Lepisosteus oculatus: one gene and its partner. The protein of the gene in region 2 purifies or fractionates together with the protein of the main gene of each other region. This does not show direct contact. Links are inferred from orthologs where the notes say so. Each region holds a gene or a part of one and is shown on either strand. Other genes may lie near its edges.

Evidence for each region. The genes of interacting proteins can lie anywhere in the genome.
Region 1: the proteins of itpr1b (region 2) and erlin2 purify together in Homo sapiens (affinity purification with western blotting, with the first as the bait; 4 studies listed by BioGRID). This does not show direct contact. The link is inferred for Lepisosteus oculatus from reciprocal best matches to the Homo sapiens genes ITPR1 and ERLIN2.

Annotation. Positions count from the first base shown.
Region 1 is NC_090697.1:68,755,590-68,761,581, forward strand, and holds the start of erlin2 (erlin-2), read right to left. Parts: upstream 3,533-5,992; 5' UTR 3,462-3,532; intron 1,969-3,461; 5' UTR 1,968-1,968; coding exon 1,861-1,967; intron 1,311-1,860; coding exon 1,229-1,310; intron 589-1,228; coding exon 542-588; intron 170-541; coding exon 107-169; intron 1-106. UniProt on the Homo sapiens protein: Component of the ERLIN1/ERLIN2 complex which mediates the endoplasmic reticulum-associated degradation (ERAD) of inositol 1,4,5-trisphosphate receptors (IP3Rs) such as ITPR1.
Region 2 is NC_090699.1:54,885,027-54,891,018, forward strand, and holds the start of itpr1b (inositol 1,4,5-trisphosphate-gated calcium channel ITPR1), read right to left. Parts: upstream 3,576-5,992; 5' UTR 3,352-3,575; intron 1-3,351. Other genes in the region: sumf1 (formylglycine-generating enzyme), read left to right, coding at 4,399-4,689, 5,951-5,992. UniProt on the Homo sapiens protein: Inositol 1,4,5-trisphosphate-gated calcium channel that, upon inositol 1,4,5-trisphosphate binding, mediates calcium release from the endoplasmic reticulum (ER).

The DNA of each region.
Region 1 (5,992 bases), on a different chromosome or scaffold from region 2:
AAGCAGCCTTCTAATGACTGACAGATGGAGATGTGATAAACGTGCATGATTAAAGGACCCTGTAACCATGTTAATAATGGGTGTGCCCCTGTAGGTAAGGGAATTACCTGCTGAAGGGATGAGAAAGTTGACCACCTCTATCCTGTCAAAGTAGATCATAACACCGCCACTGCCAAGAGATCATAGAAACCGGAGTGAGGAAACAAATCTGTTCTCACTTCAGTTGTAGTCTATACCCGTGTTGTAATAGGAGTATATCTTTAATATTTGCAGGTGTAACTTGTACAGATCAGAAATCAAGATACAGATATAGAGTAAATATACAGGTGCTGAAGAACACAATAACAGTTGGAAGCAGGAGGAGGCCATTTCCTCGTGTGGTAAAAGATAAGCCAGTGAAAACTCATTATCAAGATTGTTCAACGCTGCCAAACCACTGTGAAAGAACAGTAATATTAGCACTAGTGGTAATCTGAACTATTCGAGTTATAATCAGTATTATTCAAATAAAGGCAAGCAAGAAAACCCATCAATATCTCACCTTGTTCCACAAGGGACGTTTTTAACCTCATCTGTTTGTAATGTCGTCTGCAGAATAAAGAACAAGAATGAACCAAACAGTGCAGAAAGCAAAAACATCAATGCACTATAACTATGTAGCTTCAATACTGATCTTATAAGAAAAGGGCTGTTGAGTGAGATAGTTTAATTTCATGGGATCAATCCAACCATGTGATCTGTTACACACTTTCTGTATTTAGTAATCACAGGTGGATCTCCAATAAACTGAACTTTGTTTTAGCTCAATGATGCCTTTGTAAAATTCCCATACCGTATACAGTTCTAAAAGCTTGCAAAAGGAAATCTTCCAGTCTGTCACCACTTGATTCATTTAGGAAAAAAAAAGATTCATCTCCTGCCGCTTAACATTATGGAAAAAAAAAGACATTTCTACAAATAGTTACAAGAAACTTTGACATTTTATGAATTTCGGATAGAACTGAGGGATTCATTTGACGTGGCAAAAACAGTTGTTAGTGTGGCCACAAGCGAAACAAAAGCAAAAGGTTAAAGATCTTGAACTCAAACTTGGAAAAACTGCCTTCATTCCAATTTCATGCAGATTCTACAGTTCTATGTATGGATAGATACAAACGCTCTATTTGTATTCAACACTTAAAAAAAAAAGTACAGAGTTACAAAGGCAAACGTTCACACGAATACCCACCTGCACGGATTTGTAAGAGGTGATGAAGGGCAACATTAGATGGAACCCAGGACCACTGGTGGACGTCAAGAGGGCACCACCCCTGCAGAAGGCAAGGAAAACAGTGAAAGTGACTGAGAAAGAGGAAAAATAAAGCCGTGACTATAACCCATCCATTTTCTGACCACTGTATCCAATACAGGGTCACGGAGAAGCCGGAGCCTATCCTGGAAAGCAACAGGCACAAGGCTTGATACCCCCTGACAATGACACACAAGTTTATTGCGAGGCACACACAGAACCACTCATACCAGGGCCAATTTTCCCAGATGCCAATTAACCTACCAGTATGTCTCTGGACTGTTGGAGGAAACCCACATGAACACAGGAAACACATAACAACTCCACGCAGATAGCACCAGAGGAACTGAACCCAGGGCACCAGCGCCGTGAGGCAGCAATGCTAAGCACTGCACCACCGTGCTGCCCTTGTCACTATAACCACCTTGAAAAGTATTTTAACAGCCCCGTCCATTTGCAGCCCGATTTCATGACTTTGCACCGTTTGAGCAATGCAAAACTCTCGCTCGCGAGCCGCGGGCAGAGCAGACGGGGCACCGGTGGCACCAGTGAAGTGAGCCGTGGCCACTGACCTGTAGTACACCCCGATGTGCCCCTCCTCGATCTTGTGCACAGAGGAGAACAGGGCAGCGGCGGTGATCGCCATGACGACGGAGGCGATGGCGCCGAGCTGCGTCATCCTGGGGGGAAGAAGCAGAAGTCAGACGCGACCCAGGACCGGGAGTTCAGCATCATGTCAGGGCTGCTGGCACTGGACTGCTGACACCCTCTAAGCTGCGGCACACATCGCCTCCATAAAGCAAAGGCAATCCAAATAATTATTCTTATTTAGTTAGTTATTCATCAAATACTCCCCCCCCCACAAAGTGTACACTTTGGAGAAACAGGATTCTTCTGATGCAAAAACATCATGTGGATTGGTAATCCGAAGAACAAGTCTTGGAGCCCCCACTCTTAACTGAGAATGTCAGTCATACTGTGCTCATGTGACTGGCTGTTTCCATGTAATAAAACCTCTTCCAGCATCAACACACTGATTCCTGAAGCCCCTTTTTAAAATTTCTTCAGGAAATTCTTCACAGGAACAGTCTATTTAGTGTAAAGTGTAAAGAAAAATAGATCTAAATACCTTCGCATTCCAGTGCCACAACATAGTGGGCAGAATTGTGGTTATTTTTAACACATTTGTCAAGGTGCAGATCTCCAAGTTCTAGATAACTCTTCTGCACCTTTATTTCTTTAACTTCATTTGAGGTTATCATCTCAAACTCCTTTCCACAATATAGTGCACAGCTAGTTTTACATAGTGGTTTATGTCACTACACACTGTGTAATATATTAGACTTTTTAAACAAAGCATTGCTTAATCTGCATTGCATCTTGGAGAGGTGCTGGCCAGTGGCTACATAACCCGGTGGAAATAATATTAATTTAAATAACCAATACATTTGTCATGGAAAGCACTGGTTTCGACAACACTTCGAGGATCGCTCAAACTTTGACTCAATGTGCACATTTCCTGGAACTCACTGACCGGTAACCTAAGATCTTAGAACAAATAAGCCAACAGCTGCTCACTCAGAGCAAACCTGCAGCCGGAACTCGCCGGTGTAGGATCTTACAATAGGATATATGACCCCGTGTTTCTCCTGATATTAAGAGGATTCGCCTGAGAGAAGGAGGGAGATTTTATCTGCTCAGCGGTTACTAGTTCGATATAATCCCGTTGTCCGAATTTCAGTACAGCCTGCATTCATTTAAGGTAAATGACCTTTTCAGTCCGCTGCCTTAACTAACATTTTTGTACTTCTTCTGTTGAATAATGTCACCCATACGATGTGATGTTACACGTCTTGCGTCAGGATACAAACAAGGAGCAAATACGCCTGTTATTCCTTTAACTGCTATTCCAACACAGAGCCTTAACGCAACGTCATTTATCTTTATAGTGCAGACAGTCATAATCAGAAGAACACATTCGAAGGTTGGTTAGAGTAACCGAAACTGAAGTTAATTAAGTCCATCTGTGTTTAAGAAATGTATCACACTATGAAGTCCAGACATACATGGTATTGACGACTATGGGATTTTTGAGACAGAAACACCTTTGTATAGTCCAGTGTCGAGATAATTCGGCCCCCGCTTTAAAGTAACATATCTCGAATCGCCTTACCTGTTCGCGTTCGCTCCAGAGAAATTAATCACCTGCACGACCACTTCCGGAAAAGATACAAGCGCTCTAGTGATTTGGTCTGTGATGTCTATGGTAGAATGAAATACATTGTGGTGCAGAGACTGCCATCTACAGTAGCGGAGTGAAACAGATATTACCGACTTAAAGCATATTTTATGTATTGATTAATGCCAAGTGTCCAATCATGTTTTTACTGTAGATGTCTGCTAAATGTTTCTGTTTTGGCAACGCAGTAATGTTTCGGTCATGTCAATAAAGCTCTTGGAATCTGACATTCAGTCCTGGTGATGGAGGGATGACGTGCCTTCTGTTTTCTAGTACACTACAGCCTGCACAGCTGATGACGTGTGTGAAATCAATAGTTCAAAGTAATATTGTTTGTGTTAACAGGGTCCAGGTTGCTTGTACTCACGGGGGATTTAAAATTATTCGGAAAACCTGGTGGACTACACTGTCCAGCCCGAGACGGGGTCTCAATGTAACAGTCCAAGCCAGTCGAACAGAGAGAGGTACAACGATAACTGGAATATGCGCAAGTACCAAAAACAGCAGGAAAAAGGCAGGAAATGCCAAACATTGCTCCCCCACATAATCTCCCCCTGTCGCACAATGTTGGTTGCGTGTACTGTGACATTCCAGCAAGTTTTCTGGGTCACCCTTAACTCACTGATGTCTAAACGCATGCCCAATTTAGTTTTCATCACCTATGCAAGTCGTCAGAGAAGTAATTGATGGATTGTTTGAAATAAATACTCTAACTGCAGGAAGCTCATAAGCACCACGGCCCGGCCATTCGCGTTGTAGGAGACCCAACTTACTAAAGAGCTCAAAACTCACATGATATCTTAGGCTTTACAAATAGATGACTTGCAGGTGACCTACCAGACCTGATGGATTCTGACTCTCCCGGGCTAGGGGTGGCTATCCCTGTAATATAATACTTTTTGCTAGCATCGCAAATTGGTCAGTTTCACAAGTAGATTTCTCCCATAGATCTGCAAAATGTTATTGCTCAACATGTAAAGGTAAATGTTAAATTGAAAGATTTTGATATTGTAACGCTCTCGGGTTCACGTGGGTATGCGCCCTCGCCACTGCCGCCGCAGGTCGGCCCCCCACCGCTGGGGACTCGAACCCAGGCCTCTGGCGTCACTCCACAGGGAAGTCTCCCATCAGCCTGGCAGCTGCGGTGATGTCACGGCGCTGGAAAGCCGGCTCGCACAACCTGCAATGTCGGCCGTATGCGTTACACTCTCCCCCGCTTAATTCGCTGTCCTCGGCAAAGGGCTTTCCCATCCCACTCCTGACACCAATGTAGCGCCCTCGCTGCTCCTCCCTCAGGTCAGCCCCCCACCGGTGGGGACTCGAACCCAAGCCTCTGGCATCACTCAGCAGGGACCGCAGCTGATGGGTGATTTAGCTTAAGCTCAACTGGCTGGGTCCCTGTTGAGTGACGCTGGAGGCCTGGGTTCAAGTCCCCATCAGTGGGGGGCCAACCTGAGGTGGCAGTGGCGAGGGTGCATATTCACGTGAGCCCGAGAGCACTACAATATTATTTTATAATTTGTTAGATCTGATTTGGATAAAGGATATGATTTTATTATTAATCTGTTAATTATTCTGGCAAAATACTTTATCCACAAACGTAAATGGTCAAATACTGCTCCCTCTATTCATGCTTTTAAAGTTGAGTTCCTTTTTAATTTAAATTCTATTAGAAATTTAAAGAATCAAAAGGCAAGACATACAATGGAAATATCCAATAAGTTAATATAATTTTTAAATTTATAATTTTTAGTTTTCACAATTGTGAATTCCTCTGGCTTTGAAGTGTCTATTTCTGTATATATTTCATATTATTCTGCCTCCTTTTTTGTATTTCTGGTGTTTTAAAAAAAAATTAAGAAAACATATTTATCCCATAATGCCCAAAGTGCCTGCGTCATTGAATCGCGCCTGATACGTTCGTGAGGACACGAGAGGTGATAATCGCTTGTCATGTTTGCCAACAGAGGGAGACAAAGACTGTTTGATTTTATAGTTGCCTCGCGAAAGAAACGCGTGCAATGTAGGCAGGTATTGTGAACTGTGAATGCTGCAGTTTTATCCACCGTTTCAGTCCAGTGTCATGTAGCTTTCTCAAATCACAATTTCCTCTTACAGTGATTGGTTTAAAGAAACTCCTACCAACATTTCACCGTTAGAAAAAATAAATGCGCACGTTGCACGTAATGTGTTAATGTGTATTAACATTAAAATAAAATACATCACATGAGGCCAGATTTCACTCCGTGTCCTTATTGATGCAGGAACTCTGACAATCCGTGGGTTCTTTTCAAATGCCCTGAGAAATTCATAGGCACATTTACTTTCTTATTCTTTATGAAAATAGTATACATTCACACCATTAATCATTTTTGCATAAATCAACGACTAGATTTGATCCACTTCTTAGCACAGGCATGTAGAAGCCAGTACTAACACAAGCCAGTAGACAACTTCTGTTTGCG
Region 2 (5,992 bases):
AGTAAATAAAACATGAACTGGACCCTGTGTCATAAAATAAACCAAATACACTACAAGCCACTGTACCTTCATATTAACAAATCCATATTGGAGAGCAGACTGTATGCAATCTGAAATGGATATTGCTCAGAAAGACCAAAGGCCTAGCACAGATGTACAGTACATCGCAGGGCTTGAGTCACTGTGTGTGGGAAGACACACATACAACAAAACAAATGTCAGAGACTCCAGCAGGAACTCAGAGGCCAGACTGCCCAGAAACCATTCACTTCCAAAGACCACTTGTAGATATACCGTATAAAACTGCCCCAAGTCTGCCTCCCTAGCAATTCTGGATACAGCACCCTCTGAAAGTGTTGGGACAGTAAAGCCATGGTATTACTTAGCCGTTTCTGCTCTTCCTAGGGTTTCAGCTGCAGTCAAAAACAAAAGGTTTTGAGCCAGAGAAGACTGCTAAATGAGACAGAGAAGAGTCTCTTGAAATCACTGGGATGAATACAAAACATGCTTCTGTTCCATCATCATATGTATTCTTGAAATCACCCAAACATAAAATATCATATTAGACAAATAGATCCTGTCAATGTCATGATTGCAGATTTATTGATTGTACATAAGAAGTTTTGACTGTCGCCTCAATTCATCTGGAGGGCACTGAATGTATTTCAGGAACTCATTTCTGAGAAGAGTAAAACCATAAACAGCAACCTGTTTGACCCTGTTTCAGTGTACCAAACCACACACACACAATTTTTCTCACTGAGAACTGCTGAAATCCAAGGAAGAGCAGAGGGAAGCTAATTGATACCCATTTGCACAAAAACCAGACATCAGCATTCAAACTGCTTCCTGCACTAGATTGCTAGTGATTCTGATTGCATCAGTCTCTTCTAATTCATTCAGGGCTTTATTTTTAGAAGATCAATGTCTCCCTCTACCATTATTCTTTACATTATTCTTTACCCAAGGTAAATTGGTGAAGCCACACTACTGCATGATTTTACAGAATGGATACTTCGGCAGAAGTATGATTACTTCAGCAGTGGCATGAGGTGATGGGAAGAGTTTTATTACCATTAAAATACAGAAAGTATGTTTTTAAAAATTCAGAGAAGAGCAGATATGGGACCTCTAACCTGTCAACTGCTTAAAACCTAAGTTAAAACCTACAAGATAAGGAATTGAAAGCATTGTACTTCTTGTAAAAGTGTGTGGCCTTATTGAAGTCGACCATTAATTGTAAACACAAAAAGAAGCAACTTACATTCAGGAACACAAACTTTGATAAATATTCTCACATAAATGGTGTCCACATTTAAACGTTACCGATCGACTAGAACAGTTTATTTTCATTGCTCAGTGTAAATAAGCACAGTAATTCAACAACACACACTTTGCCTTCATACTTTCCCATCTGTACCCAAATGCACAGAAATGAACAAATGATCTGTGCCTGATTCTAAGATGACAGCCCACTCACCCACTCAAGACTCAGATGTTTTTTCATTACTTCTACCAAGGCAGCCACAATCGCTATACAGTGTTGGACATAAATGCAACAAGTGACTTAATTAGAAGACACTGAATAGAGCATTCGGTGCTCTAAAAAAGAACTGTGTCGCAGTATACAGAGGTCAGTCCACTTATGCATCACTAGTTACTGGGGAGCTACTCAAAGAAATTGAATTGTCCGTTTAAAAATATCAAACTGGTTTCAGCAGACATTAATGCTGGGAATGTTTTGATGTCGTTTATTCATTGATTGTTTGCTTTGTTTCTGACACTTTTTGTTTTCTCCATTTCTTTTTTAGCCAAAAGGTCATTGAAGAACACACAAAAGAACACATATATAATTTACCTGTGTTGAAGGCTATGACCAAGACTGCTCAATATACTATAGTACATCAGCGACACAGTGAATGTTTTGTCTATCAAATTAATCTGATTGCGTCGTTCAATTTTCAAACAAGAGCCAACCATTTACAAAACTAGGCGCATTACAAATTTGAAAAAAGAAATCAAAATACCACAGTTCACTAATTTCCCAATGACACAAAAACAATGAATTTGGGCATTCATATTTATTTAGTAATGTCATTATCCTCCTCCTTACTTAAAGCTATTATCATCAAAACACTGTATTTAAAATGATATTTTGAGAATGTTAAGGCTGGGAATGACAATGAATCATATCTTCCAATACTATACTTCATTCAAAATATTATACATCAGTTTTAAAGCAGCTTACAACACATTCATATTACAAAGCCACTTTTCCGAATTTTTGTATGGCTACTAACTAGAACCCATAAACGTCCTATAATGTCCACAAAACTTAAAATGCCTTTTAAAGCAGAAAAGCGGATTTATTCTGCAAAACACATGATGTCAGGTCAGCCAACAAGTTCGGAGTATAGGTATGTTACTTCTTCGGATAGACGCTGCTTCCTTCCGTCATATTTTTAATATTATGAAACCACCAGAAAAGTTTTAACATGATTTTTACTCACAATGGCTAATGATTACAAATAACCCAATCTCTTTTCTGTCGTATATTCTGTCACTGAACATATTAAGCTATCCTGGGAACGCGACTAAAAGTTAAGAACAACTCGAACAAAAAAGACCGGTACCGCGCCGGCTTCAGTACGGACACAAAGTATAACAGGGTATTACAATTTTAAAAACGCACATCATATTTCCTGAGGCCTTGTATTCCATGTCCTTCATTTTGAAGCTCTTAAAAGCACAGACATGCGAGTCTTTGCAGTAGAAAATGTAGTAGTATATGTGCCCAGTGGTATGCACTTTTCACTATTCGTTGAATCTTGGGAATGGGGTGTGCTGTGCTGCAAAATCAAATGGTACTGTAGCTACTGCACGCAAAGAATTCCCAATAGTGACGGTGAACGCTAGTTTTTAGAGTTACGAATGCTATCTATTAAATAGAGGACTAAACGTTTTTTTTAAACACGATACGAATACTAAATACTTGCGTTATTAAAGCAAAGCCATAACAGTTCTCCTGAGCGTTACGCATAGCGTAAAAGGATACAATCTTAACAATTCCTCTGATTTTTACTATCACTTAACCATAATGTAATTCTATGCCTATTTTTGATACAACGTAAAAAAACTAAAACGTAATCACTTCCATACAGGATGAACTTGAGTTGAATTCATTAGTGCTTTACGATCAAGAACTCATTCGAACCCCTTAAGAAGTTGACGGTAACAACTCCATTGAAAGCGATCTGAGGTTGCTTGGAGATCACCGACTGAAAGGTGCGTCGTAAATTTAACACATTTAAACGAGAAGTAAATACTAACAACACAGGTTAAGATGCTTGCCTTTTAAAACTGCAGAGATGCATACAACTTTACCTTCGCTCAAGGAAGAGCTGGTCTTGGGAGCTGCAACGCTTCAACCTTAATTAGTGGATGATAATTTTCCAGATCCCGTTTTCCTTTAATTCCATGTTATTTAAACTCCCGTTAGAAAAAAAGAGGCGGATCTTTAAGCGCTTTACCTCCCCTCTTCACTCCGCTCTGCACTACCTCCACATGAGCACTACAAAGCTGCACTTCTTTGCCGATTATTATATATCCGCAGTGAACTATGGGAAATGTTGTTTCATAGATCAACTGATAAGTGAAAGTTGACAGTAAAGAATTACTATTTATAACTACAAATCCCATACTGCCAATTATGTGGAGGAGGAGTTAAAGTAAAGGTACTTGAAGAGTCTATGTAGTTTTATATGAAAGAAGTGAACTTATTTTATCGTGCTCTTTTCGTTCATTTCAGAATTGCAAAACGGACTAAAATTATCCGACATTACACCAAACTATCATATATTAACAAAATTATTTGGTATTTTGAATATATGCGTCTTCCTCGATATTATTCCGAAGTATTCGAAACCAGCCAATCGAAAAATGTATCTTACATTTTAAACTGGGTAATCTTAACTACTAGCATGCAAGCTGCTTCAAGGCAATCCTTTAGTTTCATATGAAACCTAATTTTTCCAAGTTTAATAGTATGTTTTACAAGTCGCGTAAGCAGCTTCAGTTTTTCTGTCAAGTTCAGTCGGAAGAAGAATTCAGTGAGAAGACAACTTCAGCAACAGCACTTTGCTGGGACCTCAGGCACTAAGATTGCCATCTTAGTGTTTTATTTTTTAAATGGTGTTACATCGCTTTATACTGTGTTCACACGTAAGGGAGGAACCCAAAATATAGAACTGATTTTTCAATGCCTTTGCTTTTTTGATTAAAACAATGCTGAACGGACACAAAAAGTCAGCTGACTAGTCATGTGACGCTAAACAACTATGGCTGCACGCACAAAGAAATGATTAAGTCTGAGACTGCAGGACTGAGGAAGTTGTAACGATGTTAGCCTTCTCCGCCTTTGTTTTTTTCTCAATAAATATTTTCTTTGCATCTCACGCCAATGGAGCAGACGAAGAGAGATCAGCGACAACGAGAGCGGAACAGCTTTCTTCTTCTAATTCGGCAGGTCGAAGCTGTGGATGTCAATCTTTGAACAGAGAAGTTGAGACTGCGGACACAGAAAGTCTCTCTTCGTTGTCTGAACAAGCAAGTGCCAAATACGCCAAAGAAGCAAACGAAGAGAAGGCACAAAATGAGGTTAATGCAAAAGCTGCAGCCATTCATAACAAGGTGTGATCGATTACCTAAACATCACGCTATGTTAGATAAAGTTTGGGACAGAAAGTTGCGTTTGGAATTGTGTAACGTTTAACATTGGTTTAATTTATCAGACATGCATCTAAGTGTGATGTTCTGTTTACTTCATTTGAACTTTGTTTTGTTTTGCTATAAAGAGGCTTGCAAACTCAGGTTTAAATCCTATTGCACTACTGCCTAAGATTTTCATCTCACCTATGGTGTATAGTGGTTAAAAGTGAAAGTATGCAACGTCACATACATACAAAACGTCATACAACAGAAACCAAATACAGCGAATCTGCTGTTATACAACGTTTTTAAAAACAAGGTGTCTGGGGTCTTGAATAGTTGTATCAATGCCAGCACTATACCTGTGAATGTTTTTTTTATTGTTATCTAATGTTCACTGTTAAAAAACTGTTTTCAGCTCATGAGACCGTGACATCTCAAGTAAATGTCTGCCGGTATTCTGATTATGGAGCTGTGGTCAATGTTGTGAAGTCTTTTAGGTGTTGTAGTGCTAAAACCGAATTAAAACAACAGATTAACTCACTCAATGTACTTGTGAAATGCTGGGATTGTTCACAAAATGACAGTTTGAGTTTAAACGTTTGGGTCTATCCAGTCATCCAGAACACACGCATGATGAGCTACTTGCATCATACTGGAAGTTATGACTACTGTATGATGGATAATAGATGATGCAATCCAAACATCAGAAATGTAACATATAGGAGGAGAGGATTTAGCACATTGTGCTGATTTGGTTCTATTTAAATTTTTATAGACAGTGCTGGTTGCACTGGCAACAACGTCACTCCTATGAAGTCCCCGAAACTAAAGACACAATTTAGAGAAGTTGGGTGCTGGGGGGAAACTGGAGCATTCAGGGGAAACTCACATGAATGAGGGGGAAAACTCCATCTAGACAGACCTCAAAGCTGGAATGGATCTCGGCACGCTAGTGATATGTGAAGCAGTAGCGTTTACTACCACACCACCATGTCATAATTGACAAGACAGGTGATTCTTTTAAGCAAACCATTTCTTTTTTTTTCCCCCAGGGAATATCACTCTCCGGTATGTAGGGTTTGAAGCTGTCAGTCTTCCTGATACTTAGATCTTAGTCTCAATATCCGAACAGAAATCAATGCAGTGTCCATGACAAGGGCTAGTCGAGTGCAGCGCATTATTATTTACATGTTGTAATCATGGGGCTGTCTTATTTCAGTACTCGCTCTCTTTGCTCTAGATGGTGCTGATCCCAGCGGGGAAGTTCACGATGGGTACAGAT